4 linked regions of the Struthio camelus genome follow. The protein of the gene in region 2 interacts with the protein of the main gene of each other region in a pairwise test. Links are inferred from orthologs where the notes say so. Each region holds a gene or a part of one and is shown on either strand. Other genes may lie near its edges. The genes, in order: RBPMS, VENTX, TBX15 and DAB1.

Region 1 (7,264 bases), on a different chromosome or scaffold from region 2:
AAGCCACCTGCAGAAGCAAGCGGGGCTCCCCGCAGAACTCGCAGGCAGGCTTTCTTGGTCGAGCACATCCATCTTTCCCAGCCTGGGCCAGGTTTCCCAGGGAAAGCCCTTGCCCTGGTGCTCATTAGTGAGTCTGTGTAGGGCAGAGCAGCACCCCCATCTTGTGCCTGCTCAAAGCCTTGTCCCTCACACCGCCCTCTTCAGGGCTCCTTTTTCTCTCCCGAGTGGCCTTGTGCTGCTTAAGCGTTTGCACATATGTGAGAGACAAGGTGCAGCCAGACCTGCAGCTCCCTACGCTGTCAGCACTATATGCTTATGATACGCTGTGGGCCTTACAGCCAGCGATGGTACAGGTATGATAGAGGAAGCCATGGTACTTGACTCCTCTCCTATGAAGAAAGGCTGAGAGAGCTGGGCCTGTTCAGGCTGGAGAAGAGCAGACTGAGTGGCGATCTCATCAACATGTACAAGTATCTGAAGGGGGGGTGTCAAGAGGATGAGGCCAGTCTCTTCTCCGTGGTGCTCAGCGACAGGACAAGAGGCAACGGGCAGAAACTGAACCACAGGAAGTTCCACCTAAACCTGAGAAAAAACTTCTTGACTGTGAGGGTGACAGAGCACTGGAAGAGGTTGCCCAGAGAGGTAGTGGAGTCTCCTTCGCTGGAGATATTCAAAACCCACCTGGATGTGATCCTGGGAAATATGCTCTAGGTGACCCTGCTTGAGCAGGGGGGTTGGAGTAGATGATCTCCAGAGGTCCCTTCCAACCTCAACCATTCTGTGATTCTGAGATTCTGTGACTCCACCGGGCAGGGGGGGCACAGAGCCTGCCAAAGTGGCACGTCTTATTCAACAGCCGGAAACTGGTTATCAATACACAAGATTTCCTCCCTCTCATTTGGCTCTTCCTACAACTAAGTCAGCTTTTTCCAAACAATTATTCTCCATGGGATTGCAGAACTACTGACAACACTGCGCAGCATAGTCCGATACCTGCCTGTTTTTTCTTCACTTACCTGTAGGCTGTAAGAGACAGCAAGTGCTAGAAAAGTGGTGACACCCTCTCTCCTCTGACCGCTGAAAACTGCCTTCTGTTCAGCTTGCTTTTCAGCCCATTCACTCGGCGCTGTGGCAAGATTGGAGCACAGCTGCAGCTTCTATGGCCGTCTGCTGCACTTCTGGGGAGCTTCAGATGTGCACAAGTTTTCAGGCAGATGAATGTCACGCTGACCCATAGAGATGTTTTTCATAACTTTCCCTTCTACCTTTGTAAAATATGTTCTGCAGTTTTATCCCAATGCAGAACAAAACTGAGTGTTGGAAGGAACAGAATTTCTCGCAGGAGAGAAAGCAAGAGCCACTGTTTGTACTGGAACCCCAAACTTCAGCTGAGATGCAGGAAACTGTTTGCTACGGCATTCCCTGCTTGCAACTTTAATGCGGACGGATTTGGAACCGAGGATTTCAGGTAGAGCACGGCTTGACATAAAAGCGAGGGAACGTGCACTACAACTAATAAGATTTTCTCCTTAAACTTACAGGGATATCAAAAAGCTGGATTTGGGCCTTGAATTTCCAAACTGCGGCCCATTGCTGCTTGGAAACTGTGTGGCTATTCTCCAAAGCAGTCTAAATACGGGCTGCAAATATTGTCACAAATATGACAGTTTCCATCTAATTGAGGTAGACCCCGCCAAGTTTTCTTGTTCAGATGACCAGAAAGATCTTGCAGTTGAAAACAATGGAAGAGAAAGTAATGAAATCAGGGTGAACCGCGCGGACTTCCATATATGCCACTGAACTCAAATAATGCCTCTTACGTGCTTAGCAGCGTGGTTTCAAACAGGCAATTGAAAAAAAAAGACATGTTGGAGCTGGAAAAACAAAAAAGTTGCACCAGTGCAGAGCCCCGGGTGGTGGCTGCTGCGAGAAAGCACAACGTTCCTGCGGGTCCACGCTCGGAAGCGGTCATTTGAAGCCACCTATGAAAAAAATAAGCCTCGTACGCTAGCCTGAGTTGACCTGTTGGGCAGTCGTGGAAAAGCCTCTTTTCTGCTCACTTTTCATGCTCGCTTTCAGAGCTACAGGGGCCTGCTATGTCTTCACCTCGCAGGGGAAAGCAGGGAAGCAGCCTGGGTAGCCACCAAAGGGCCCCTTGGCCCAGCTAAGGGGCTATCAGTCGAGCGCCGCTGTCAGCAAAAGCGTTCCTCCGACAGCAAGCACGCTGCAAGTACGCTCGGCAAAACCTGTGGCGTGGCACGGGAAAGATTAAACAAATCTCTCCTTTCCTCCTCGAGCCACCTTAAATTTCATACCCTGTAGGACAACAGCGCCCTCAATAGCTGCTACAGGGGTTTTCTCCTCTCAGAGGTAAAGAAAGGCCAGGTTTCTTTCTTAACTCCCAGGCTTTCATTCGTATTTGTTCTGCTTCTTTGTTTCCTTGATTGCTTTTCAAGAAAGCTTTGAACAGTTAATACAATTCTGACAGAAACAGAAATGCTCTCTTATTACAGAGGCACCCAGAGGGCTGGTAAATATTACACTAGGCTTGTGCCTCAAAAGTGACTTTTTTGCTGAAAAAGCCCACCAGCCCATCCCAAACTTTCCATGGATAATGGGCCATTTCCAGGCCTATAAGGGCCCTATCCTAGGAAACCAAACATACAACTCCAGGAAGAATATGCTGCTAAATTTGTTCGGTTCTCTCCCCTGGGAGTGGTTTAAACCCAGCTGTTCCTCATGTCCTAAAAATGAGGCAAATTTTCAAAATCTCTTCCTCTGAGGTAAATTCCCAGCAACAGCCCTATTGCCGTGCAGCCGCTGAGCAGCTCTACACCATGTTTGGGGAGAAAGCAGCAAAGCACGGACGGTACACGACAGGTTCCCGCGGGATCCTGCACCCCCGGCTCTCTCCAGGGCTGATACTGATTTTGGGCTGCTCACTCACCTTCTGATAATGAACAGCACATACAGGTAAATCCAGCAGCACACTGAATTTATCCCAACGGCCCCGGCCACGATTTCTAACTGTGGTGGCTCAGGTTTTCTGACTGTAGGCACCGTCCTACCAGGAAGAGAGAGAGGTGGGAGACCAAGACACCAGTCCTCAAACGAATCCCGATTGCCTCTCTTCCCAGCATGGTGAGGTTGCACCTGTGCCACAACTCTGCAGAAGCCTGCAGACCAGGGGCACCGTCGCTCTGCTAAAAACCCCCCATCCCATCTTTTTCCCGGTGGTGAGTGAGGTCCCTTCTTTTTCCCCTGCTCACCAAGGTAACATGTTTTTTTTAGAAGTGCTCGGGCCTCTGCCTGCTCTTTCTGACCCTGAGGCTGCTCAGGTGGCTCGCAGGGCCACCTGCTATCCCAGCCGGACATCTCCCCGCTCCCGGAAATTCGGACCGCACGGCTAGTTTCAATCTAGCTCCCACCAGGACAAGTTCTGCTCTGTAGGGGAACATTTTTTGAGAGGTTGGAAGCTTGCCAGGTGACGTTGGGGGCATTTCGGGTAAGCGCTGCCACATGGGAGGGACACTTAGCCCCCCGGAAGAGAGGGGCTCGCGTCCCCTCGCCTGCCCAGCGCCGCGGGAGCAGCCTCCGCCCGCGCCCGAGTGGCCCCAGTGTGGGTAGGACGAGCGGCCCAGGGCGACGCGCAGACGGACAGCTGTATTCGATTTGGCCGCTCTCTCCAGAAAGGCAGGCTGAGCCTTGAGGACCGCGCGTGGCCCTCCTATCTGCTGATGGGGCCGTTTATCCCCCGGGGGCAATCCCGACCTCCGTTAAAACTTGTTTAGCTCTCCGTAGTCTAATCCCCTCGGCCAGCCTGCCTCCTCGGGCCTGGAGGGCTGCTCGGGAGGAGGCGACCGGCTCGGCCCCGCTCACGCCACGTGCTGCGCGAGCCCCTCTCGCTGCCGCCGCCTGACGCAGGCAGTTTGCCAGGTTCGCTGTTCCCCCCGCGGAAAGGTGCTACGGACGGAGGCGTTAAGCGTCAGCTCGCCTGGCGCGCACGGAGACGCTTTTAGGGACTTTTCCCCGAATGCCGGGGCAGGTTTTTGGAAATGAGCAGGGCCACCCCCCAGCCCCTTTCAGCATCTGATGCCAGACGACTGACGAGGGACGGGGAGCACAAGCCGGACGCGGCGACAAAACGCGACGAGCGTCGCCCCCAGCGCCTGGGCGGCCCCACGCGCGCGGCGCCCCCGCCCCCCACGCCGCCTTGGCCCCGCCCCCCGCCCTAGACGCCCCGCCCCCCACCGGCCCGGCCCCTCCCACCACCGCCGCCGCCCGCCCGCCCGCCGCCGCCGCCGCCGCCGCCGGCGGGAGCAGCCTGGCCGCGCACGCAGCATGAGCAACCTCCCCGCCGAGCGGGACGGCGGCCCCGCCGAGCCCGGCCTGCCCGAGGAGGAGGTAGCGGGGTCCTGGGGGGCGGCGTGGGGTGGGGACGGGGACTCCTCGCCCCTCTGCCGGGCCGCCGTGGCGGGGGGGAGAGGTGCGGCTGGAGCCGCGGCTCTCCGCGGAGGCGGCGGCGGCGGACGCGCGGGCTGTGACACGGGGGCATCCGCGTTGGCCCGGCCAGAAAGTTTGAAGGGGGCGGTGGGGGTGACCGAAACAGGGCAAACCTCTCGCATCGGCGAGCGTGAAGCCGGGGTTTGGGGTTTTGGGGGGGGGGGGTTATTTTTTTGTTTTTTTCCCCCCGCAAGCGTCCGGGAAGGGGTTATTTGGCCGCGTCGTCCCAACAAAGTTGAATTTGCCGGCTGAAGGCGGGCGGAGCGGCGGGCAGGCTCCGGCGGCGCAGGGCAAAGTGGTGCTGCTCGACCCCTTTGGAGCTGGGGCAGGAGGGCCTGTTTCCTCGGCCCCCAAAGCAGCTTGGGGGCCGCTGAAGGACGCGGAGAGGTTAGGGGGAGGGAGGCGTGTGGGGAAAAAATGCACCCCGGCCTTTTGTTGCAAGGCGTCGGACACCGTCAGGACCGTCCCTGCCCCAACCTGGTGGTGCTGAGCGTGGTTGCAGCTGAAGGAAACTGCTTTGGGACCGCGCCGGGCCTGTGTGGGCCAAGGGCAAAGGTGCTGAGAAAGGAGGAGCCGCGTCCCTAGGGCTTTGTCTTGCCCGGGGAGGGGTGATGGCAGCAGGTGCCACCAGGGCACGAAGAGAAGAAGGGGATCGGCCCCAGGAGCGTATCATAGCGGGCTTGGAGAGGGAGGACGGACAGGTGGTACCGTGCGGTGCTGGGTTCCTGCTCTGTGCTGCGAGCGTGGCTTTAGGAAGGGGCCGGTTGCTGGTGCTCGCAAGCTGGGCTCCTTTCCCACCATGGCAGGTCCTTCCCGCACCTGCCTCCTCCTGTGCCAAGCCGGCAGGTACTTCGCTGGCACAAGCTTATACCGGCGCCGGCTGGAAGCGCTGGCGCTTGGGAGTATTTGCGTAAGGACGCTCGGAGCGGGTTGCCTAGCCACTGGGTTGTGCATACCTCTCCCCTTCCTGGGAGGTCATGCCGGAGGGCTTTTCTTTAAACTTTGTGCCCTCCCTCTCCCCCCGATGCTGTGTTTTACCCCAAAAGAGGAAGAAGCAGACCCTGTCTTGAGGCTGTAGATCCTGTGCCGGGAAGGCGGGAGGTCGGGGCATGTGGGCTCCCACAGCAGGGAAACCCGCAGGCTTTCCGGAGGTTAAAGCAACGGTGCTGCGACGTGTGATGGGCCCCCGGTTTCCGTGCGGGTCTGGCCCAGAGCCTAAGCCGACGCTCGGATAAGTCCGGCCAGTTCTCCTTTGTCTTCCCGGGGCTCGCGGGAGTTGCTCCAGCCTCTCCTGGCAACGGGCAGGATGCGTGGGGCATCCCCTTCCCTGTCGCTCCAGCCCCGTTCAGCGCTGACTGGCGTGGGTGAGCCGCGGGTTGGAAGGTCCCGGCAGAGGAGCCTGGCAGGGGTAGAGCCGTTGGAAAAGAGGTCGCGTAGCTACGGCCGGGCGAGAACGGCATGTAAAAGAATAGACGGAGGCCTTATTTGGTAGCGGAGCAGCTCCAGGGAGTCCAGCCCTTGTCTCCATGGCCGTGCCAGCTCCCCCAGCGCGGCTCCCAGCACAGCGCGGCTGGGCTGGTGGAAACGCTGCTGGCGTTGCTGACTGTATCGTCCCAGGAGGTTGTGGGGGGCTCGGGCACGGGCAGGGGGCAGCCAGGGTGGGGAGAGAAAGGGTGGCACGAGCAGGGCTAGGCACCCCTGGGGACGCTTCCTAGCGGGAACATCTCCAGCAAGTCGGTAAGCTTTCCCTGCGCAGCCACCTCGCCCCGTGGTGGAGCTACGAAGACTTCCCTTTATCTTGTCAGGAACTGCCTGTGGTTCGGCGTCGCTTCCCATGTACTTGTGCTTCCCTCCCTCCTTTAAGAAATGCCCGGTCTCGAGGATTTGGGAGGAAAGCTCCAAGCAATGACACAATTGTGCATGACCTCAGGCCCCAGCCCCGGCCCGCAATCCAGCCTCTCTGTTGCAATCTCCCATCTGCTCCCTTGGCTTCTTGCTTTCTTTTGCTCACTTCCTCGTTCCAGCTTCGCCTCCGGAGCAGCTCCCCCACATTGTCCTCAGCCCTCGCTTGACTTTGTTTTCCCAAACACTGCTCCTCTCCTTGCTTTCCCTGCCTACCCCAGCAGTGGTTTTGTTGGTGATCTTGAGAAGCGGCTCCAGGTTGTGGAGCTGGAGGTCTGAGCGGAGGGAAGGAAAGCCCAGACCTCCCTGTCTGGAAGAGGTCTGTGCTCGCTCTCCTGCGTGGCCTGGTGCAGAGCATGGAGCCCTGTGCCTTCTCCATCCTTGGCGCCGTGTGGACCCAGGTGTGCCACACGCAGGCCTGGGACATACGCGGTGCCACTTGCAAAGCAAGTATCTCGGGCCTCATTGACTGAAGTCTTGTTTATGTCAGTGAGTTTTGTGGGCTTGTGACATGCTTACACAGAGCCCGGTAATCTAAACCAAACCGAGGGAACACTCCATTAATGGAGAGAGTATTTACGTAAGGGCTAATCCGCGCGGGGCTGGAATGCACCCCGCTGCAGGGGAGCAGGGGCAGCGCCGGCCAGGGCTCCTCGCCTCTCCTCCTCCTGCCCCAGCTCCGTGTTTAGGGCGCTTTTCCCTTCGCTGGGAGGAGGGGGTGAAGTTCCACTTTCCGTATTTTAGGGCTTTATCTCAGCCCTAAGCCAGCGCGGTGGCCTGGAACGGATTCATCTGCCTCCTCCTCCTCCGGGCCCGGCTCTGCTGCCACGGCGCTCCCCTCCCCTCAGCCCCCCCATGC
Region 2 (7,826 bases):
GTCGGTGCCCATACAAAATTACATGGGGTGACCTCTACCAGTGTCCCCTTGAAAAGGGGCAGCCAAGTCGAGTTTAACACTCCAGACTATTTGCGGGTAAATTGTGCATTTATTGACCTTGACTGTTGACTGTTATTGACCTATCCTTAAAATATGCTTGTGTTAGAAAAACATATCTGCCATTGCAGAGCTCTTCTGGAAACAACTGAATCCTTAATTACATTCGAAAGAGAGACAGAGACAGAATTTCAGATCCCCCCTCCTTTGGATCAATATAGTCGTTTTAGTTAAATTTGAATTTGAGAAATAAGACTCCATTCAGTGGGAAATTTTATTTCGTGACAAACAACTTTTCTTAATCCCAAACTGCATCACACTTTTGGAAAGATCTAAACAAGATAAATAGCAGCTGAACTCTTGTTACATTTCTTAAAATCCTTCAAAACAAAGATTAGAGTTGTATTAATTGCGCAAGTGCAAGCAAATAGCAACATCTCAAAGGATTGAAAAAATACAACATAGATTACAAAATAATCAAGGAGACTTCCAAATGCGACAGCTACTCAGAAAATCAGAGCACATAGTGTTGCTGTGAACCAGGCAAGTGTAGTCAAGCAAGAGGCTGGCCCCTGCATAAAAAAGAAAATAGGTGCATTCAAGGATGACCGACAGAGAACCTTCAAACAATTCATTATATGAGCCCAGATTGCAAGTGCACCGGAAGTTTTTTAATAACCCCGGAGACTGATTCTAAACTGATGGAAATTTTTATGGGTCTTTTCATGTCGGTTGACAGTTGACTTGAAAAGATTTATGACAACTTACATCAGTCAAGGATCAATTCTCACAGCTCTTTCTCTACCCTGAAATCAGAACATTTTTGACCATGAATTTTCTAGAGCGTTATTCAAATAAAAAATGCATAGCACAATGCTCATGAAACAGATTGACAGCTATTTAAACAAAGAGCTTTGGACAATTGCATTTATTTTGATAATCACTCTCATACCCTGTTAGGTGTGTGTGAGATGCCGAGATAATATGTTATTGGGACTCTTCAAATGATAATGCAAGTCCAGATCCTTCCCAAGGCCTATTTAGGTGAGAGGTGCTTATTAATCTACTGAGGCCACCCCATGAAACTGCGAGGAGGTGCTTACATAATACTTTTAACTAAAGAGATAGCTTTTTACATCTTGAAATTGTATATGATATGGTATTTAAAGGGGTCCAAGAGAAAGGATTCATTCTGCTGCTGTAAGAAGCCCAGCATTTAATATTTGTAACTAGGTCAAGATGCATCCATATATGCATGCTTAAAGACATGATCCCACCATAGAAAGTGCCACCTGGGAAGTACCTGAAGGGGTAAGGAGTCTCCTGTTTTAGGGAACGGGGGGAAATTCATAGTTTTTTTACACTCCTCCTCAGTAAATTTCAGGGTTCAGCAAATGAAAGGCTACTCAGATTTCCCACCAGAGCCAGAGCAGATCTAAGGATTAAGGAGTCCGTGCTTCCTTTCATAGGGAGGTGGTCTCTTTCAGGGCAGGATAAGTAGCTCTGCAATCCTTGTGGAAGGAAGTCAGGTCAAAGCTGGAAAGTGTTTAGGTTTATTAAGAGATTCCATTTGTATTAATACTGGCCCCACCACGTCTGTATTTTACACCGTTGCCTATAAACGCAGGGGCCTGAAGTCCACGACCCAGACCATGCAGTCTCTGTAGAATACCTTGCTCTGTGCCTCACCACAGCTCCACCAGCCAGTTACAGACCGGGGCAGCCCGCATCGCTGGCATTAGTGCAAATCCTCCTCAGGTAGAGTCCATGCCAGCGGGTCAGACGCCCAGCAGGAAAGCTCTGGGATCCCGGTACCCTACAAAGCAGGGCGCTGCCCAAAAGCCCGGAGGCTGCGCCCGGCAGGCGCTGCTGAGGTCCAAGGCATGCGCCGGCAGCGCCGCTAAGGCGAAGCCGCCGGGGGCGGCCTCCTGCCGGGGCAGCGGCGGCGGCCGGGCTGCGTAGGCGAGGGGCAAGGGCACAAGCCCGCTCTGAGGTCCGTAAGGGAGAGGGGGGCTGCAGAAAGGCTCCGGCCTCAGCTCCTGCAGCTGCCGCTTCAGCTTCATCCGGCGGTTCTGGAACCAGGTCTTGATCTGGAGGGTCGAGTGAGATGAGGAGGGGTGAAGTCACAACTTCTCCCCCGGCGGCGCCCATCCCCATCCCCATCCCCATCCCCATCCCCATCCCAGCCTCATCCGCACCCCACCCCACCCCACGCCGCTCACCTGCACCTCCGAGAGCTGCATCTTGCCGGCCAGCTTGCGCCGCTCGGCGGCCCCCAGGTACTGGTGCCGCTGGAAGGAGCTCTCCAGGGTGCTGATCTGCTCCGCGCTGAAGGCCGTGCGCAGCCGCCGGGCGCCGCGGCCGCCGGGCTCCTCGGAGCTGCCGCTCTCGGGCTCCGCCGCTGCCGGGGGCTGCCCCGCTCCCCACGCCCGCTCACCTACTCCTGGCGACAGGGCGAGAGAGAAGGGGGATCAGCCAGGCCTGGGGTCCCTGGAAGTGCCAGCCCGCTCGCCTCTTTTCCCTCTCCCCGGGCTCCGGGGAGGCTCGCTGCCCCTTGCAGGGCGAGAGGAAACAGGACCAGGCGCCCCTTCCCCGGGGGAAATTTGCGGACAGGCCCTGGCACAGGTACGGGTGAGCAGGCTCCGGTCCCTGGGGGCACAAGGCCCTTCCCTCCTGTCCCCAGCAGGACTGCACCACGCAGCCCCGACGGCGGCGGAGGCCGCGGTTACCTGCAGCGGGGGGGCCGGCCGGGCGCTCCCGGCTCCTGCCGCCTCTCCCGGCCCTCGGGCCGGCGCCCTCTTTCCCGCTCCACTCGCTCGGGCCGGGGCTGGAGCCGGAGTCGGGCCGGGGCCCCGCGGCCGCGGAAGCGGCTCGACGCGGAGCACCCTCGGCGGGGTTCCTGGGGGCCTGGCTGCTTTGGGATAGCCACTCCACAGAGAAAGGGGCCTTGGTCATCCTGCTCTTGTCTCGGAGCTGCCGGGAAGGAGGGTGCTGGGGAGCACGGCCCCTCCTTTATACCGCAAGTCCCGGAGGAAAACGTTGTTTGTGTAAATACACATCAAAGGGCCAGATAAGTATCATCTAATTGCCATCAGTCCTCCCCCTCAACAAAAGATACTGTTCACACATTGCCACAGCTCGAAGAGGCTCGGCTCCGCGGTGTCTGCCCCTGGAGGAGTTCACTCTGCCGTCAGTGATTTACAGCACTTGTTACATCCTATCCCCATGCAAATGGCATTTATAGCGCTGAGCGGCCTCAAAGGGCGCGGGGGAATGCATCCCGGGGGCGCACAGGGACCAGCATCCCGCAGGTGCTGGCAGGACCGGGATCGCCGGGGGCTCCCAGTCCCCGTTCCCCGAGAGATGACACTTTTCAATTCTCCCTTCAAGCAGAAGTTCCACTTTCTAAAGGGATCTTCCCAAACCTGCTCCTCCCTGGGCTGAGTACCGTGCTATCGAGACAGCCTGAGGCAGGCGGGTGGGCAGACTCACTGAACGCATTCTCCTGGGTCTGCTGCACCAGGTTATAAACACCACACACGGGGAGAAGGGTTTGGAGGAGAAGGCTGTGAAACAAAAAAAGGTAAAGGTCGAGCCTGTTGGTTGGTACCAATCGGCTTATTCTCGGCTGCTTACATAAAGTGTTTTTTTCTGAACTAAAGAATCAGAAAAAGACAATTATGCCCTTAACTTTCTGCTGAGGCTGTAGGATTTATGTCATATCTTCCCTCCCAGATCTTTCCAACTGTGCAGGTTACACAGGTTTCCCTGCTATCTTACTCCCCCTGGCTTTCCTGTTACTTCCTTAAGAACGCCTTTCAGGAGCGTTCCCATCCATCTCTGGGTTCTGTGGGCACTAGGAACACTTGGCTGTTGCAGTAATGCCTTTGCAGTACATTGACAAAAGGTTTCTAGTGGCCCTGCTATTTTACTGACAGTTGTGCTTCCACTGTACAGTTTCCACTGTACAGTAACCATGAATCCTCTCCTATTTCCCCTCCCTCCCCTCCTGTGCTAGGACAGAGTGGGACTTTCTACCGGCACAATTATATCTCTGATAATTCCTATCATACTCCTGCCTGGCATTAGTCTGCCTCCGGAAATCACAACTGCATGTCTAATCTGCCTGTCCTTGCTCTGGTTTTCCTCTTTATATTCTTCCTCTGCCATCTGCACACAAACCCAGTGCTTCATTGCTCATTTAACCTGTGACTTGTTCTGTCATTCTGCCACTCCTGCTGGATTTCTCAGCGTTCACTTCATTTGTGATCACAGTCAATGTAACCATGGCTCTAGTTCTTGGCCTGTCAGAGATAGAGGGCTTGAGGAGTGAACCCCTCCTACTTATTTTTTTAGTTTATGTCTAAACTAAATTTATTTATTCCATTTTAATCTTAGATACCTCTCTTTCTTTATATCCATAAGTAAAAAGTTTTACTCAATCTATTTTCATCTTTCCTAAAACCTACATTTCAGCCGCCTATTTACTCACAATGTGGTTGCTATATCCAGCCATCATGAATTCCTAAGGTTTTCCACTCACTAGCAAATTTTTCCTTGAATGAAGCTCAAGTTTGACTTATGAGCCCCTTCTAAGCTCAGTCTCTCCCTGCTTGTTCATTCCTGCGGCATAGTCTGAGTCCTCTGCTCTACCAGTGATGCCATTGTTTGAGTGTTTGTCTGTCTGATAAGACAAACAAGAATATGAATCTAGCTGTTGCCTTTATTTAAAGGTGGCTAATAACCAATCCAGAATCTGTGGGTACTACCACAACCAGGCATGACCACAGTCCTCCTGGAGTCCTTTGTTTCTGGCCACATAGGGATCTAGATACAGGCCAAACACTTGAATTGAACATAAATTTCTCATAAAAATCATCACAAACAAACAACCACAGCCATACCCTTGAGCCTGCTAAATATGCTTCCTGGAGGGAACTAAGGGTACTGGTGTTAAAACGTCTAAGCAGAGGTTCAAGCATTAATGCCTCCTGTACGTCTGTTGCATGCCTAAACAAGTCCACAAATGCCTCTTGCATGGACAAGGCTCTGCAGGATGCTACATTAGTTTTCTCAGCTGTGTGAAAGACTCTGATCCATATCTAATGACTTAAAAACTCATCTGTTTATCCATCCCAAGCATTTTCTGATTAACAATAGAAAATTGAGAAACTTCACTTGTCCAAGCTGCACAAGATTAATTTTAAATTTCCTGTGTTTTATACATTCCGCCACCCCATCCCCGGAATACTTCAAGCACAGGTTCTTAACTACCTTTTTCAATAAGTAAATGTGAAGACTTTTACCCTCCCCTCCCCCCACCCCCAAGCCTGAGGAAATATTCTAAAACATCAGATTTTCTAAGCATTTACTTATCAGCCAGTTCTGGTGCCAACATATTGCATAGACCTGACCAAACAGGTAGGAGGTATACGGAGAGGAGGCACAGAAGAATCTACTCTGTTAACTGAGTTAATAGAGCTGAATGACAAGTCCCTTGAGTCAGCTATACTTAGCATGTGGCCTGGCAACAGCATCTCCAGTGAGCACTGGGAATACTAGTGCCGTTTTGCTTGCCCAGAGAATCCAGCCAAGCCTCCTTGGGAAAAGCGAGAGCAAAAAAAAGCAAAATGTCTTTCTCAAGGACTAAATTCTCATGACCATTAAAAAAAAGGAAGTGCTATTTTTCTGCAGGATTCTTTCTCAGTTTGAATTTCCTTAATTAATTCAACAGCATTCTGCATCATAGACGGGGCCAAATAGGAGATAAATTGGTCTCTTGTGCTCAGGAAGAGGATTATTTCCATTCCTAGTCTCTATATAATATTATATAATTTTATGTAATATAAAATATTATATACATAATCTATGCACACACCTACTTATACACACAGAATGTATACCTGTACATGTAGTCTGTCTGCAAGACTTCCTTTTAACTATCTTTATTTTATGTCAAAGAACAAAGGCACTGGCAAGCTGTTGGGTAGGACACAATACATGACATACGATGGTGTTCTGAAAAATAGAAAGTCTCAGGTTTTAGCATCCACTGATACATCTGTCACATAATTTCTTTACAGATTTTAATACATTTTCACCATCTGAGCTGCAAATGACATCTTCATACACTGATGGTTTATTAATTGCCTTTTATTGAGACAAACGTCACAGCCAAAAGATGGTGTCAAAGGCTGAGCTCTCAGAGACACAAACCAATCCCATTCTGACAAGGTTAAACCAAATGTTCCCTTCTACACAAAACGTGAGCTTAAATATTCTGTTTAGATGGCAAATTACTTCTAGATGTAATGACTGTTACAGTATTTAATAGCTGCTAGTTTAATTTTATCTACATTTCTTAAGCTGCCTTCTTTCTGTTTCTATGCATTATTCATGAGGTGTTTGTTTGAAAATCTACTGCTAAACCGTGATTCAGAAAATACCATCTTTAAAATCAATTGATATTTCTAATAGGATGAGAACCTGCTCATGCGGAAGTCTTTGGGAATTTTGCCAAAGACATAAAGAGAACGGAGAGGTCCTCCCAGCTCTGCTGCTACAAGGAAGTAGAGATAAAGAGCTCAGACATACAGACATAACTGCCACAGCAGAAGTCTTAAGATCCATTTGCTGAAGATGAAGACAATACTTCATGTAGATGTTTGTTCAATAGACACTTGCTCTCTCTGGGGAGCCAGAACCTTCTCCACAAAAATAAGGACCACCAACTTCCTGATGATCAAAGGGGACTGAGGATCAAAATGCCAAATGCCAGTCCAGGCCATGCCGTTCTGGGGAGGTGATGTAGAAGGGAACATTTTAGCATCTTGGAGAATTAAACTGAGTTGAGATTTATTACTTGATATAGATCCCCTAAGTTTCTTGTGAGCAGGAGCTGCTTTCAAAGAGGCTAAGAAGAAAGATCGGCTTTATAGATGTCTGGCTGGGACAGGTAGGATGGGATCAAGACAACAGTGCTTATACAAGGCAGCTCTATCAAAACGTATACACACAAGGCTGGGTTCAGGCTTAGGAGGTTCTGCAGAACTGGCTATTCCTGTTTGGATCCCTATTAAGCAGTTGATAACAGATATATTTCAGGATAACAGCCCCAGCCTTTGAAAACTAATTACTGCTCCACATCTTGCAGAGCAAAGGCCAGCCCTGCCCCAATGGGCCAGGTCACAGCCCAGCAGAGGGGCAGTACTGTGCTCAGAGATATCCCCTTCCCACTGAAACTTTGGAGGAACTGAAGAGAAAGAGTACCTCTGGGCTACCAAGTACTTTGAGGTCCCCACCGCAGCTGAGCTGGAGAAAGCTGCCGCCCACTTGGCCTTGCTGCAGTAGGGGTACACAAGACAGAAGGTAGGCACTCTCCTTTTGTAAAAGCAAGTTGTCCCTTCTCATAGAGAGTCCTGTGAGACTACAGCAAAGTGAGCATGTGCTTCTGGGAGCAGCTGGGTGGTGATGCAATGAAAAGAGCAAAAAGGGTTTCTTAGGACATGCAGGAAGTTGCGTGTTCATCTGCAGAACTGTAGTACTTCTATGATGGGATGCCCAGGGAAGCAAGGGCTGCTGGTACGTGCCATATGATTTATGTGGGTTTTGCCCTGGTACGTTTATCCAATCATTGTAATTTCTGAGGAATCACTCTTTAGGACTTAAAAGCATTACTAGTGGCCTTTAATCAAGCTCTCTATTATCAATTATTATAATCTCTCCTCCTTGACAGAATAAGAGGTGTTTTCCAGGAGAAATAAAAAGAC
Region 3 (7,716 bases), on a different chromosome or scaffold from region 2:
CCCGTACCAATAGTATCGCCAGCAAAAGGAACGGCCCCGCGTTATTTCCTACGCTGTGCGGGAGCGGCTATTTTGAGTTTTGAACGCTGAGGACATTGTAAAACCTCTCTTTTTTATTTTTGGTGTATCACCAGAGATTTGGCGAGTTTTAAATACTTTAGGTGTAAAGTTTGTTCTTAATTGGGTCTTGTAAAGATGGAATTTGGTGGCTATTATATAGCTGCTAATCAATTTTCACCCAGCAGCAAAGGTATACTGCGGCGGATTTAGGTTTAATGAAGTGACTGTGCAAATTACACTTGCGGACTTTATTTAAAGTCTATCAACATCCTAAAAATGATTCCTCAAACTGTTCTTGATTTCCTTTGCTTTATGAAAAACATTACATTTACTTTCTAAGGTTTCCGGCATTACCAGCCGTTCTCTCCCGCTTTCTAGTCTGGCGCATGAGGGAGTTTTCCAAATCTTTATTTCGAATTCATGGGGAAAAGTGCGAGTTAAACTTCTAGAGCAACGAAAAATGTATCCTGTAGTAGCTAGAAATTAATGTAGAACGATTCTAAAAAGAATGAGCAATGCGCACATCTGCTCTAATATTGGAAAGCGGATTTTTGTCGTTTCGATCTCGTATTTGTTATTTTGTACGGGGAGCACTCTGAGATCGTGAGCAAATTTTTGGTGGCTGTTATTCTGGTAGGGTCTTTTCTCTCTCCTTTATGCCCGTCGCCCTACTAAGAGAGAGCTCCAGGAAGAAGATTTTACCTACGTCTCCTTAGGATCCGCAGCGGGAAGAGCTGCTGCTGTTACAAACAAATTGAAATGCGGTTCCTTGAGAGCGGAGCGGGGCGACGTGATCTCCGGAGTTCCCGTCTTTAGCTCCCTTCAAAAACACTTAACACATTTTTTACAACAGATTTTTTTACAGCTCGACCTCTAATACTTTCTCTGTTTTTAGTGATGGGTTTTGGACAGCTGGTCCTTATTGATATCTGGGGGAATCTCACACACACCCACAAAAAAAAATGTTTTATTCTCCAAGTTCAGCGGGTGGAATGGAGCAAGTGGAGTAAGTTGGTGCCCTTTCTCTTGCGCGTCCCCGAAGATAAATCGCTCGACCTTTTCCCATACCCAATATTTAAGAGAACAATGAAGGGAAATTTCCCCGAAATTCCCTTTATCCGATTATTACACTTGTGAGCGCAGGGCAGCTCGCTCGGTCCCTTTTCAAGGCACTGGGGAGCGGGGAGGGGAGACGGCGAGCCCCGCGGGCGCTGCGCGGGGCGGGAGGCAGCGCGCTTCCCTCCCTCCGCGCCCCTCTCACTTCACCCCCCAGAGCCGCCGCGGCATCGAGGCCGCTACTGCCGGACCCTCGTTTTAGGGACAAATAATTTGCCTCGGGGGACAAAAAATTACTCCAAGCCACTGGTTCCCTTTTAAATGAAAAAAGCCGAGGCCGGACTCGTGCTCTCTGCCCCCAAACACGGCGCGGCGACCTAGGCGCCGCGGCTCTGGCGCTACTCCTAATTCCCCCGGTCCCGGGGGGCGCCAGGCTCGGTACCGCGGGCGGGACTCTTTGGACCCTCCTGTCGCCCGCTGCCTCTTCTCCCGGGCTGAGACCCTTTTCCTCGCCAGGAAAAGTGACGGGGCAAGCCCGGTGCCAGCCCGCTGGCCCCGCGGGCAGTGAAGACGTCCCTGCCGGCCGGGCTCCAGCGGGCGCTGAGCGAAGGGGCCCCAGCGCAGAGCCCCGCGGATCCGGTCCAGGGGCTGCCCGGCCCGGCCCGGCCCGGCCCGCGCTAGCGGAACCAGGCCCTGGCGCTGGTGCCGGCGCTCCCCGGGCCGGGCCCGCAGGCCGGCGGGGTGCGCGGGTGCCGCGGAGCCCGGCCGGACCGCGGAGCCGCAGCCGCTCGCCTCGCCCCGCCGCCGCTTTGCGCGGAGGCTGCGCATCGGGACGGCGTCGGTCCGGCGCGCCCGGCTCTGCCTCCACCAAAATCTCCGGTTGGGACAGCACGATTTCCACGGGGCAGACTTGAGGGGGGGAGGGTTCGGAGAGGGGAGCGTTTGGAAAGCCGTACAAAAGAGGAGAGATCTCTCCCGCAGCGGTGAGTGTTGTGCCCCCCCCTCGTTTGCCCCCGACGCACCCCTGCAATGGTCGGGACGCGCCGGGGCAGGGCAGAGCAAGGCGAAACGCGCGTCCCGAGACACCCAGGAAGTACGAGCGCGAACGGCAGACACAGAGGGAGGGAGGAGAAAGGGAGAAGGAGGAAGGGGGGGAGCACGCCGTTCCCTCCCGGGAGGTCATGAAGTTAGGGGGCAAAAAGTTCGGAGTGGGTGGGAGAAAAGTCCCTGTAAACCGAAAAAAAAAATCAAAAAAAAAAAAATGTCCGCAGATTTTCCCCCACCCAAATGCCAGATGTTTTCCTGGACGCGCGGCTGGGCAGCACGGAGGAGCGCGGAGGAGCGCGGCGCGCCCGCGCAGGCGGGCAGAGGGGCTGCGGCGGGCAGCCCCCGGCCGGGCCAGTGGAGAGCTAAAGGCAGAGAAAAGGGAGTGGGGGTCGGCGTAGAGAAAGGAGTTGCACTAACCGGGGTTGAGGTCCAGGCACTGAGTCGGGTCTTCATTGTCCCCTAGCTGGCCATTGGGGCTGAGGCTTTCCATGGACAAATCCAGCCCCTTGTCCTCCCAGTCTCGCAGTTTCCTCTTTTTATTTGTCCCAATCAAGGCTTCTACTGAGAAAGCGTGCGCTCGGGAGCTGAGGGCCACCGCCGATCTTCGCCTCTCACTCATCTTATCCCCCAGCCCAGACCCTTGGGCAGATGAGCAACCAGTGGCTGGGAGCGCAGAGCTCGGGGACCAGAGGCAGAGCCTCTCGCCTCTTTCTCCCCCCACCCCTCCCCAGCTGCACCCCCAGAAGAACCAGCCCTCAGTCTCCTGAAGGAACTACATGAGGTTGCAGATACTCCGTAGGCAGAGCCGGGAGGGTGTGCACAGCCCAGGTCCCCAGCACTTGCTCAGAGGGGCTGCAGGCTGGATTTCATCTTTTTTTTTTTTTTCCTTCTCCCCTTTCCTTCTGTCTCTCTCTGATTGATCCAAACTTCTGGGATTTTTTTTTCCTCCAAGAGTTAGGCAGGCTGCGTGCGCCTGTCAAGAAAAAAAAATAATGAAAAAAAAAATGTCCCCGGCCAATAGGAGGGAGAGATCGAGAGAGACCCAAAAGCTGCAACCCAATGGGGAGGGGAGGGAGACTCGGGCTTCGGGGCTAAGAATTTTGGCCATCTGAGTCCTGGGACACCGGCCGGGAGAATTAACTGTTTGAAGAGCGGGGAGCCATTAGGAAACACATAGCTCTAAATGCAGAGAGGTAACAACTCCGACACTTCTCTCCTCCGCACCCAGATTTCCTAGGGACTCCTGATAACTAAATTCCCCCCCCCCACACTCCCCTCAGAGTATTCGAAAAGGGGCTTTAAATCCGGGGAGTGCAGGATGAGGGGGTGTTTTGAAAACGTCATTCATGTCATATATTACTTGTGTTTGTCGGTGAAGTCGGTGTTTGGCCCTGTAGAAGTACCATCTCGGGGTGTTTTGAAGTTTCCTTTCAAAACGACTCGTGTCTGAAGCGGCGTATCTGGGCAGGCGGCGCCGGCACGAAGCCGGTGCCGAGAGCGGGGCGCGCTGCAGCGGGGGCAGAGAGATTCAGACATCCTCCGGCACCGCGAGTGCCTTGTCTCTGGAAAGGATTTGGGGTCTTTGTTTTGGTTTTTGTTTTTGTTCTTTTTTCCCATTCCTTTTTGCCGCTATAGCTATATAGAGAGAACAATCCGCTAGGTACAAATCCCGGCCAGTGGTCTAGATGGCAACTAGCATTTCATTTCTGCTCGTCTCTTCACTCTGCCTTCCAGGCTGAGGTGGGATGGTAGCTGCTCACACACTCTTAGGTCGTGCGTGGCGCAGGGGGCTCGTAGAGAAAGGAAATAAGGGCTGCATTTGCAAAGGTGAAGCACCATGTGCTTTCACTATCTATTCGGAGCACGGAAAAAAATATGTGAAGTCAAGCGAAACACTGTCTAGGGAAAATATAACAAGTCGCCGGGAGTTAATTCGATTCCCAGGATCGAATGTAGCGTCAAAATAAATAATAAATAACTAAATGATAAAGGATGGAGTGAATACAGCTCAAGCTAAGATGAAAAAACGGGCGAGAAGAAACGTCAAGTTTGGGAATAGGTTGCTTTTGGTTGTCGGTTCTCACAGGCTCCCCGGAGGCTCGGCGTTGCTTTGAGCAGCGCCGGGGGAGAGCAAGGAGCTCGGGGGCGAGCCGTTTCCACGGGGCCGAGCGCAAGCCAAGGGAGCAGATGGGGGGCAGGTCCTCCAGCTGCCAGAGTCACCCCGCGATGCCCACGTTTGCTTGGCACACCAGGTCCCTTCAGGCCTAAAGTGCCGGGTCTTGCAGGCGCGACAGCGGACTGCCGCCGTCCAAACGGCCATAGCAGCAAGGAAAGGGATGTCGGATGAAAGGAGTGATTTCTTCACGAAAACCCGGGAAAGTTAAGGGCTGTTATCTAACTTGAGGAGCGGATTTTGCGCGTCCCCTTCGTTCCCCCTTCTCTCCCCTCCCCTCCCCCCCCGCCTATCCTTTCCCCTCCCCTCTCTTGGACATCGCCTTTGACAGGTCCCTTGCAGAGGGCTCAGCGCCGGGCACACGGGCGCTCCGACACGGGGAGGTGCAGCCCCCCTTGCACTGCCCCGCTCTCGTCTCGCCCCGCTGCGAAGGAAGCTTTTTCCCTGGCTCCAGGGAGAGCCGTGCAGGGGGAAGAGCGGAGGGAAGAGGAGAGCCAAAGAGGAAGACGCTTTGAGGAGGAAGCTTGGGTTTTAAAACCGGCACCGGGACTGTCTGCGGATGGGGGGACCCGCAGAGGGCACGTGCGTTTCGAGTGGGTCCCTCGGCTGTGCTCCCCACGGCGCAAAAATGCCCCCCAAATAAAAATCCGTTTCCTCATTTCCGAAAGCCTCGGAAACGCTCGTCTGGGAAACAGACACCGAGGGAGGTTTTTAAAGGAGCTGGAGGGAGATTTTAGAAAGAGAGCCCAAGAAAACACAGGATTATTTATAGCGTTTTAGCGAGAGGAAATGGTGTTGGAAAGGCTGGGCGATTTAAAACGAAATTTGGGGGCTGATGTAAGAGTTCAGAAATACATTTTGCCGGTAAAAACATGGTTTTAAGGGCCGACGGTTTAAAGCAGTCGCGGTCCCTTTTCGTCCTCTTTACCTGCGGCTGTTCGTGGTCTTTAAACTTTGTCGGACCACCCCGCGCCCAGCTCTGGCAGAGGGACCGCTTCGGAGTAGCGAGCAGAAACACAGCCGCGGTCCCATGTCCGACCGGCCCCCAACTGGCAGACTCCCAGGATCGGAGCCTTTGGCAAGGACCGGCGAGCAGCTCCCCACGGTGCCGCCGGCGGTGGCCGGGGACACAGGCGACACACGGCCGCCGACGGCCGCGCCTCTCCTTCCCTGCCGCTATGCCAGTGCCCGAGAGATTTTGTACAGATCGGGGTCACCCTACCCCCCTTTTTGCGGCGAGTGCAAGGGACAAACACAACGGCAGCGCTGCTTTTCAGCAAAAGCGGAGGAAAAGGCAACCTGCGCAACGCCCTGGCCCTCCCCGAGCCGTGCGGCCCCGCGCACCCGAGGCAGGAGATGTGCCGGGGGACAGAGCAGGGAGGCTGTTTGCGGGACAAACATCTCTGCCCCTGAGTTAAGGGGGCTCGTCCAGGGAAACCCGCGCTCCTCAAACCGGGAAATGAGCTTTCGGTCCGTTCTTTGCACCTCGGGGGCCAAGCCCGCTGGGCAAAACGCGTCCCCGCGGCGCCAACCCGAGGGCACCTGGTCCGGCGAGGCTCTTCTCTGCTGAATCACAAGAGCCCCGTTAAGGACCACGTTCCCACTCCCGGCTGCAAGCCGCGTAAATCTGGAGTCGGCCTGGAGTTAATCTGAATTTAGACACGACGCTCAGATCCGACTCTGACCCTTGGCCGCTAGAGAAGAATGTAGCCCTTTGCCTGGTCTTTATTCCAGACCCTGGCTCGCAGGGGTAGCCCCCATTAAATCCAGGAAACTGCTCCCTGGAATAAAGTGGCAGGAGCAAGGGTCGCAGGGCCAGGCCCTGGGGTTTATAAAGAAGTCATTCAGTGCTGCTTTCCAGTTGTCGCCGAGCGAGCCTGAAAATATTTGTTTATATATGGAAATATTTGGAAAAGAGAGAAAAAAGGGGAGCCGGCTGCGGGGTGGGAGTGCTGTCCAGATGTTCTGCTCGCCGAGGCTGAGCGGAGCCGGTTTCAAACACTACTGCACAACAAGGAAAACGTTATCGAAAGTCCTTTAGCCAGATCTAGCCCGTTTTTTTTTTTAAGTTAGTAATTGAAAACAATGTTAAAACTAGTCAGCGGGTGTGGGCTGAAGGCTGTCTGATAACGTCAGTGAATGATTTATTGGACTTTAAGACAACGTGGACTGTCTTTTAAAACGGATCAGAGGATCTCGAGACCGGAGCTATCGTAAAGAAGCGAGTTTAACGCGGACGCAGCCGCCGCTTGGAAACTCGAGCGAGGTGATGTTCCCGGGCTGCGCGGGGTCATTTATTGTGACAGCGAAAAAAAAAATACGCCTGCAATTTATTTTTATGGTCTACACAAACGGTATTGTTGCGTATTATTAACTAATTCATAATTATACCGCTATTATGCCGCCGATTCCTTCCCTCTCCCCTCGCGTTTCCCCGGTTTTCTCAGGCTTTGAGAATTGAATCACCGCAAAATATTTACAGTCTCAAGTGTTTTTAAATGGGCTTTGTTTGTGTTTTACAGAATAAAAATCTCTATTAGTGTTTAAACAAACACCATGCCAGTCTCTTAAGCCTTCCAGATGTTTGCAATAAAATGTCAGGTTTTGCCTTTGGGACTCGAAATAAAATTTAACTACCTTCACCCTGTAATTATTCTCTTAGCTCTCCCTTCATAAATTTATCTGCTTTCTATCAGGAGAGAAAAAAAATCCGATTATACACTTGGACTATAAAAAACAGCCACTGCTTTCCCTCCATTTTACCAGGACTTCACCCTCGCTTGTTTGGGCAGTACAGACCCAACGCGCGCCTATTATTTTTTGCTCTCCTGTTTTCAGGGCGGCGGAATGAGACCGGACAGATTCCCTTGTCCTGAAGCAAAAATATGCCCCGTGTCCCCGGGCCCTACCCCCCTCCCCCATCCCGGGCCACAGTGCTCCAGGAGGGGACAAGACTTGGGAACTAAAATTGTCCCTGAACTTCCTCCAGCTCCAGGCGTCGCTTCTTCGCAGACACTAATCAGACCTGACTGCATTTCAGAGCCTCCCCGTGGAGCTGTTTGGAAATAGGCAATTTCGATGAATAATTCAAACAAAGCAGGTTCCCTTCACAAGCAAAGATGAGAGCCCCAGCTAGAGAGCCCTCTTCCTTCTTAGATACTCCCTTAGAGCGACAAGAGCAGGCTTAAAAGCTATGCGCTTTGCATTTTCCACGTCAAAATTCAGAACAGCCGGGAGCAGCAAGAGGGTGTCTAGGTTTCTTCCTTCTTTCGTGCCTTTTCACTCGACAGCCTCGCTTTGCTTGGCTCCCGCGGGCCGCGGACTTTCTGCAGCCTGCAGCGCAAGAGCTGCTCGGGAGAGAAGCGCAGGTACAGCGAGAG
Region 4 (7,857 bases), on a different chromosome or scaffold from region 2:
AGCCTGACATTTTTGCTGTTCACAGTTGAGGATTAATTTTATTAAACAATTTTGCAGTTTTCTGCTTCACTGACTGCATATTTCCTTGATAACATCCCAAGAAGGAAGGTATATTGTGTCTACTAACTTCTACCAATACATTGCTTCATTCAGGCAGCACTTGACCTGCATACACTTATTTTATTATAGTTCAGTTTTTTTCACTCTATCAGTTTGGTTCGATCTCTTCTGCATTTGCTTGACCTAGTGAACTATTCAGTTCACATGTACAATACTGCACATAACGTAATTGCTAAGTGTCACAAATGAATATCTGCAAGGGAACCCAAAAAACTAAATAAAGGAGGGGAAGTCATTATTAAAAAGGTTGAAGGGTCAATCTTCTGAAGTGCTGCTATCAGTTTGAATAGATAAACTCAGGACCTTTTCTAGGTTGCTTTTATGCAAAGTGTCAGCTTCCATAGATTGCTGGCCTCTAGGTCCCAGACTAAACATGTTACATTTGTATTATTATAAAGCATTATGCAAAATAAAGTGAGATTAACTTTCAATTATTTGGGTCAAAATTTATTCCAAATTGAAACTCATTCCCCTGCAGTGAACCAGGTCAAAGAATAAAAGCTCTCAAAAAAAAGATTTAAGACCTTGCTCTGACCCACTGACAGTGTCTTCACAATTTGTGGCCAACACCTATGGCTTACACACGGCTCAGCCCATTATTAACCTGATTCGTCACCTTAATGCATGCACAACCTCTTGCTCTGAGATGATTTCATGTATCCTTCCCATTTTCAGCAAAAAGCAGCTCCTTACCAATGGCAGGAATTGGAAGCCATCTGATTTCTTCACCTGATAAACACTAAATGCAATTGCTAATGCAGTAGCAGCCATTGTATAAAAAACAACCAAAGAAACCTTCCCCTGCCTCTCCTCCACTCTTTTCTCTCCTAACCTTGCTGCAAGGAGTCATTCCTTTAAGACTGATCTACACCTGTACTTTTCTGCCAACAGATTCAGCCAGCAGTTCAAGAGCTGCTATTTACTGGATGGTCACTGGAGATTGAGACGTGAAGCAAGCTTGGCTCTAATTTTGTATGTTTAACACATGGATAGATTTACATCCAACAAAACAATATACTTACCAGCCAGTGGGAATGGCTTTCAATATAGAGTAACAAATTTGATGTAAAAATATACATATATCTGGCATACAGCAAACACACATAATCCTAGTCACTTTAACTGGCATGGGAAACCAGCGGTGTCTGAGCTGTCGCCCTTGCCCCAAGCTCTCCTCCTTGCGATAAAGGAGTAACCATAAGCTGGCAGCAGTATGTCAGTCATCTATTAAACCAGCCATCAGAAGGGGAATGCGCTTTGTCCTTTGAACTGCATGATCTGACCAGCCTGGGACCAAATTCTGCCCGGTAGCTCTCCATAAAGGCAGTGGAAGCTGTGCAAAGGCATTTCACAGAAGAATTTGTCCACTGGAAAGCATGCCCCTTTGGCCCCGCTGCAGAGAGATTAACTGTAACTCAGCACATAGCAAACAATACAGTGGGGAAATAGGTTGTATTTTGTTCTGGCAGATCCTTAGCTGAACCCCAGTCTCCTCAGACAAGTGGTACACCTTTTCTGCAGTGCCAGTTACCACAAACTGGGAAGCGAGAAGAGGAAGCAGCCATGCTAATGTGGGTGGCCTCTCAATCCTTCAGGGGACAGAGGAGAAAAGCCATGACACATTCTGTCCTTTGCTTTGAATTTAGCTTGTGATCCTGGAATAAGTGCAATACCCTTAGCAATGCCGTTTGAATTGCTGGTGGATAGTAATCCGCAATGGTGCACTCTGCCTAGGAGAAAGGCAAGCAGCACATCTCTGAGCGAGCAGGAAGACAGAACAGCCTTTAATTCCTGCAGAAGGGACTCTTCTCAAGTCAGAAAGAGGTCAGTCATGGGACAGAGCACAAAGAGCTTGTATTCACACAGCTGTAACTCTCAGGGGCACTAGGTGCCTTAACCTTCACAAGTGCATTTCCCAGTTAGTCAGAAGTTACATGGTAAACACACAATTTAAAGAAGTAACACTTAAAAGAGTGCAGTATTTGTGTAAAGAGCTTGATTCTGCCAGTGTGGCTGCATCACCCTTCTGTCCTCCGAGTGGCATTCCACATGCAAAGCCCCAAGAAACACATCTTGAACTGAAGAATTAATAAGATTGCTGGCATTTTTAAATGTCAGTCAGTTTTTACATAAGCTCTCTGCCTGTGGAAAAATGGGAGAGTCGCAATCCATAATTGTCCAGCAGGAGCGTCTCTTTTTAATGAAAACGCTGAGGATTCGTTTAGAGGATCCTCGGGAACGGTCACCTCTTGCACTGCTGTCGTCTGGGGGGTTGCCCCCAGAGGTACTCTACAACATCAGTGGGGATGTCAGCCGAGACGGATGATAAGATTAAGTGCTACCCTCCTCCAAGGGTAGACATCAGCACCCCCACCCCCACCTTGGGAGGATCAGCAACGATAGAGCAAAGATCTCCAGGGCTGAGGAAACAAGGAGGTCAGTGACTTCTCCCTGGCAAATATCTGCCTGGCAGACAGCACTACATGCGTGCACTGCTGCCCCTTGCTCCAGCACTGTTTTCTGGCAGTGCAGGTACCGAGAGGATGAGGGGAGTGCAGAGGGATTTAGCTGAAGCAAATGTGCTTCTACAGCTTTCCCAAATGTTGTGGGAATGGCAGAGAGAAAAGGGGAAACTAAATTTTTGTCTGCCTTTAAGTTTCAGTTCAAAACTCACGTACCCAGATTCTAGACGTGATGCGAGGGGTTCAGATGTACAGCTCCTGCTGAACACACCCAAAATCATGCCTCTAAAAATCCACCTATTTTAGAAAATTTCTGTTGTATTTTAAAAAATATTATCTGATAATTGCAGATTCTTACTATTCGTTTTCTTGTAGAATCCTTGTTCAAGTGGCATCATCAGCAAAGGTCTCAAAGCAGCCTGCCAGTTACCGCTCACTCCTGCACAGAGACATACGAAGAAAATAATCTAACCTTTTAATTCCTCCTGTTTTTATTTTTCAAAAATTCAGCCAGGACAGCAAGCAGACAAACAGCAAGAAACAGTGAATGTCGTTGCACTGTGTGTCCAAGTTCATGGCAAATATGGACACAGATTAATGAGTCAAAAAATGCCTGGAACAGAGTCGGGACATTTAGAAGTAAATACATATTCAAAGTCAGCTCAGACTCTGCTGCTAATCCTGCAGCCACAGGGGGTCCCCACCTGAGTAGGGATATGCTGATCTTGATTGCTCGTGTGACCTTTCCTGCCTGTACTCCAGGGCCACATGGTGGGCAGAACAAGCTGCTTTTACGCTGCACGAAAGCTGCGAGGTTAACCCTGGAGGCAATCAACACGTCTCAGCCTTGGCATGACTGGGACGGAGTACATCACGTTACTGCTGGTTATCAGGAAACCCTCTCCAGTTCCTAATTCACATATGTACAAATTAATGATCCTTATCATTTCTATTCTGACAAATGTGCAAGCCCTTGGATGACATGCAAACTTCAGCTTTCACACTCATTTTGAGACTTAAATCCCTCCAAATGGGCCCAGTGAAACAAGTTGGCTGCATGTGTAAAAGCAGCCACAGCCTTCATCCCCAGGCACTCAGAGAAGCCAGGGCAAGGTCGGGGGGAATTCAAATGGTTTCCCTTTGAGACCCAGTGAAACTTTTACCCAAAGCTGCATTTATCAATTAAGGTAACCGTTCTCAATGTATATGCTCAACAGAAAAAGGAAATACGATTCAGCGGTTACTGTAGTCACCTGAGAACGTAACACCATCCGTCCCTACTCTACGGATTTCCTTCACGGCGCTTGGCAACTCAACTTAGGTTGCATTCTCACACCAGGAACAAGTTGCTTGCTTGTCTTTAACTAACCCAAACTAGTTATTCGGCTGCAAAAGTTGGGCTAATAACATTGCTATAGAAATGCAACTAGAGGAAGTCTACCCTAAGGACTGTTGTGCTTAGCATAGTCATGATAAACATGCAGTGCTTTGTCTCCAATGGGATTTTACATGAAGAAAGCTGTGTCTGTGTGGAGAAAATGAAGATATTTCTTCTCCTTTGGCAGAAAGGATAAAAAATAAGTGTCTGTGTCTTGTTTAATAAAACTACTATTTGTACTTTATTTCTGTACATGTGTATAGGAAAAGGTTGTGCAAGGCTGCTACAATAGTAGTGATGTTAGTTTTTCCCTATTCTTTATCATTTGAGCTTTTTCAAAATCCTCAGCAGCATCTCCGTCTGACAGCCTGTTACAGCATCTGGGGGAAAAGGGAAAACATAAGCACAAAAAGCCCAGAAACGGGCAGGCCAGAAACAGGCCAGGTCAATAATATTTTATAGAAAATACAAAACATTTCTGTGTTTGAATTTAGGAATAGGCTGTCCCCATTTACAGCCCAGGATTGCGTCAATGATTGCTAATAGACCTCTGTGAAGAGTACAAAATTACGTTGATTAGTTTCCAGCAGTGCCATTTGCCTTTGCAAAAGAGCCTGAAGCAGAAGGAGTGTGAGAGCTTGTCCATGCTGTGTGAAGGGAACAATTCAAATTCCACAGTGCACTGGGGAACCACATACAGAACCCGTACCTGTGACAAAGGCGCCAGCTGAGCGCGTGTGCGCCGAGCAGCCGGATTCCTCTATGCAAATTCTTACCTATATTTATTGTCCATTTTGACCTGGGAGGTTTTTTTAATGGTGTTCACCTCCTTCTAAATGATGGCAAAATCTGCTGGCTACCAGTGGTCAAATGCATTATGCAAAAAAAACTTCTTAATGACAGTGAAATGCTAAATGCAAATAAACCTGCTTTTCATGCAGTCTCGCCTGAAAGAGACAAATTGACAGTAATTCTCCCTAAAATACAGGGAAAATTGCTAAAAGAGATTTCCTGTGTTTGCCCTAGATGTATTTTCACTTGGGTCACATTTTTACTGACAGCTCACCAGCAGAACTGGAACAGAAACTCTGCCAGACTGATGTCAGGGAAGGGGATACTGAATGTTGCACAGAGAGAACGCTCTCTAACACTTCAGCAGGACGGAAGGAAAGGGGCCAACCACACGTTTTGAGAGCTCAAGGAGGGCTTGCAGGATGCAGGGTTCATTCCTGGCTAAGACACAACAATCTCCTGTGGCTCTGGATGTACAACTTGGACTTTGTTTCAGAGGTGTTAAGTTATCAGTGTTCCTGCCTTGACACTGCTGGAAAATCAGCTCTGTGATCTCTCTGTGACTAAAATCTCCCACTAGGAGAACAGCGATACAATATCTCAGAATGATAGACAAGGATACACTTATTAACGAAGCACTCAGATATCACAGTGATAAACAGTATTGAAATACTTGGGCGGGCAAGTGGGTATTAAACACTAACAGAATTTAGAACAATCTCAGCAAACATGATGGTTTTTTACCTCTCATTGCTTTCATTTCAGCCTGCTGCCATGTAGTGACTGCCTGAGCCACTGATTCAGCAAAAACCAAAACCAAGACTTACTGTTTCAAATGTCAGAAACGGGAAAAACATAAATCTTTTTCAAAATGTGCAGAAATACTCTATGCACTGTGATGTGAAAGGCTGCTTTTTTGCTTTGCTGTTCATCTTAAGAAAAGAATTGCTAAAAAGGATGTATTCACTGCATCAAACCAAAAGCACAGAAGGTGCAACAGCTGCCATAAGTGTGAAATATTTGAAATAATAAAGCCTGCTATGCCAACACTGCCGGCAACTGCAACCACTAATGTTCAACCTCAGTTGTTTCACAGACGCTGGAAAGAACCTTTGCAATTATGAGCAACTCAAATCATACAACAGGAGTAATCAAATTCCTATCATATAGCTCTCATCCACTGGGATACGTTAATTCAGCCAATCTCAGTCATATGCAATTTAATGATAAAACATTCCTCAGCCCCTCCTTGGAGCACAGTGAGACTCTGGCAATACCGCTGAATCAGCTGAGAGACCACACACACAACGTCAGCGATGCCACCGCATCACTGTTTCCCATCCTTGTCAGCCATCCTTCCCACAGAGTGGGCTCCGCTGCCCTCATCACCCTGCTCGAGAGGAACACCAGCCTGGCGCACACAAGGGAGGTGACGTTCACAAGCTGCAGCGGGGAACAAGCTGTGTCCGTTCGAGTGCTGGTACAGCTTTCCGTCCTTCTCTTCTCGGGTCCCTTAGCAACGTGAGGATGGACAGAAAATACACGCTCAGCATCCCATTCTCTCTCTCTTCTCCTTTACCTGTTACTTCACCCTTCTTTCGCATTCTGCAAGCCTGCTGCTGCCTGTCCAGTGTCCTGCACTGAAAGCACAGACTAAGTGGAACAAGGTGTCGAGCACAGGCAACATTACGAATAAACAAGGCTGTCTTGTGGAAGGGCCCAAGCAAAGTTGAAAACAGAAAGAACAAATCTCTCAGGACTAACAGCTCTGAGTTAAGAAGAGGTCTAACTAGCTAACAAACCATCTGTTTCCTCTTTGTCTTGCTATGTGCATGGTTATGCATCTATGTCTTAATTCTCTGCATTTAATATTTGGCACTAGCAAGTACATTTTAATAATAAGCCCCTCCTAAGAATTATTGCTTTCACATATACACACAAAAAGAAGTCAAATATTGGTCTATTTTCCATCTTACTATCCCTACCTAACAAGGCAGTTTGACAAGCAGACTGACAATAAAAGCAATGCAGGGTTTCTTCTTCATGCCTGCCTACACACCACTCACTTCCAGGCTCTGGAAAAAAACGTTTGCTGCCTGCTGTGCTGGTCTGCCTCCTTCCACAGAATAACTGCCCTGGAGACAGCTGATGCGTCTGCTTTGCTCTTACCTTGTCCTTCACCTAAATGGTACGGGGTTTTAGGTGTATTTCTTAGTTATCTCAGGAAAAGGCTTGCGCGCACACACACACACACACACACACACACTTTATATGCTATTGCTAACCTGAATTTTTGTTAACTTTTCAGGATAAAGTGCATACTGTGAGTCTGATTTTCAAAGGTGACACTCTCTAAACACACACATTCGCATTCACAGTTAAGCACAAAACAGTAGTATTCGTTTTTATAGTCACTTGACCAGACACTAATACTGTGGCAGGGAACTGGGGTCAGTCAATCTTTCGCTATGTATGGCAAATCTCACAAAGTAGTAGTACGCATGGAGCCAGCTAAAATAAAATAAGAGTCTGGGTATGCGTCACACAACACTATCAATCTAAAATGCGCAGTCGGGAGCAAGAACTTTTAGAAATTTTTAAGGAAAGATTACAACTGAGTTCTCAGGGAGATTTAGGGCTCAAGGTTCCCTGTTTCTAGAGAGAACAAAAGAAAAGCCATCCATCACAACTGGTCAGGACTATGTAGGGATGCAGGGATCAAAATGACAGGGAAGCACGCAGAGAAAGGAAAGCAGAGAGACCTACGAGGGGCAAGAGTGGAACGAGGGCTCTGCATATTGACTGAAGCTGCTGTCCCAACTATTTTTGCCTAAATGTTCGCTCAACAAATTAGCAGCCAACAAAATCTCCATTTAAGAATAAAACCAATGAGCTTTCCCATCTGACTGCCTGAATCCAAGCACCCAGGCCACAATTTTGAACATAAAGGTGACTGCCCTCCCTTTAGGATTTGAGAAGTGCTGGGAAAGAAAGATAACCAGTGTGTCAGGAGGCCAAACCCATAAAGCTCACAGAGTGAAAGAGATATGAGCCTTAGATAACCTGTGTTGGAGTACTGTCACTGAAGCCATTCTTGGTAAGGTT

Evidence for each region.
Region 1: the proteins of VENTX (region 2) and RBPMS interact in binary tests that used the Homo sapiens proteins (3 or more experiments, as listed by UniProt). The two-hybrid records come from large-scale screens. The link is inferred for Struthio camelus from reciprocal best matches to the Homo sapiens genes VENTX and RBPMS.
Region 3: the proteins of VENTX (region 2) and TBX15 interact in binary tests that used the Homo sapiens proteins (3 or more experiments, as listed by UniProt). The two-hybrid records come from large-scale screens. The link is inferred for Struthio camelus from reciprocal best matches to the Homo sapiens genes VENTX and TBX15.
Region 4: the proteins of VENTX (region 2) and DAB1 interact in binary tests that used the Homo sapiens proteins (3 or more experiments, as listed by UniProt). The two-hybrid records come from large-scale screens. The link is inferred for Struthio camelus from reciprocal best matches to the Homo sapiens genes VENTX and DAB1.

What each region holds. Positions count from the first base shown.
Region 1 is NC_090945.1:5,907,819-5,915,082, reverse strand, and holds the start of RBPMS (RNA-binding protein with multiple splicing), read left to right. Parts: upstream 1-4,258; 5' UTR 4,259-4,341; coding exon 4,342-4,404; intron 4,405-7,264.
Region 2 is NC_090948.1:18,025,030-18,032,855, reverse strand, and holds VENTX (homeobox protein VENTX), read right to left. Parts: upstream 3,013-7,826; coding exon 2,787-3,012; intron 2,501-2,786; coding exon 2,280-2,500; intron 2,148-2,279; coding exon 1,836-2,147; 3' UTR 314-1,835; downstream 1-313. UniProt on the Homo sapiens protein: May be involved in ventralization.
Region 3 is NC_090942.1:91,668,453-91,676,168, reverse strand, and holds the start of TBX15 (T-box transcription factor TBX15), read right to left. Parts: upstream 3,009-7,716; 5' UTR 2,783-3,008; coding exon 2,581-2,782; intron 1-2,580. UniProt on the Homo sapiens protein: Probable transcriptional regulator involved in the development of the skeleton of the limb, vertebral column and head. Acts by controlling the number of mesenchymal precursor cells and chondrocytes.
Region 4 is NC_090949.1:33,984,665-33,992,521, forward strand, and holds the start of DAB1 (disabled homolog 1), read right to left. Parts: upstream 3,008-7,857; 5' UTR 2,941-3,007; intron 1-2,940. UniProt on the Homo sapiens protein: Signaling adapter of the reelin-mediated signaling pathway, which regulates the migration and differentiation of postmitotic neurons during brain development.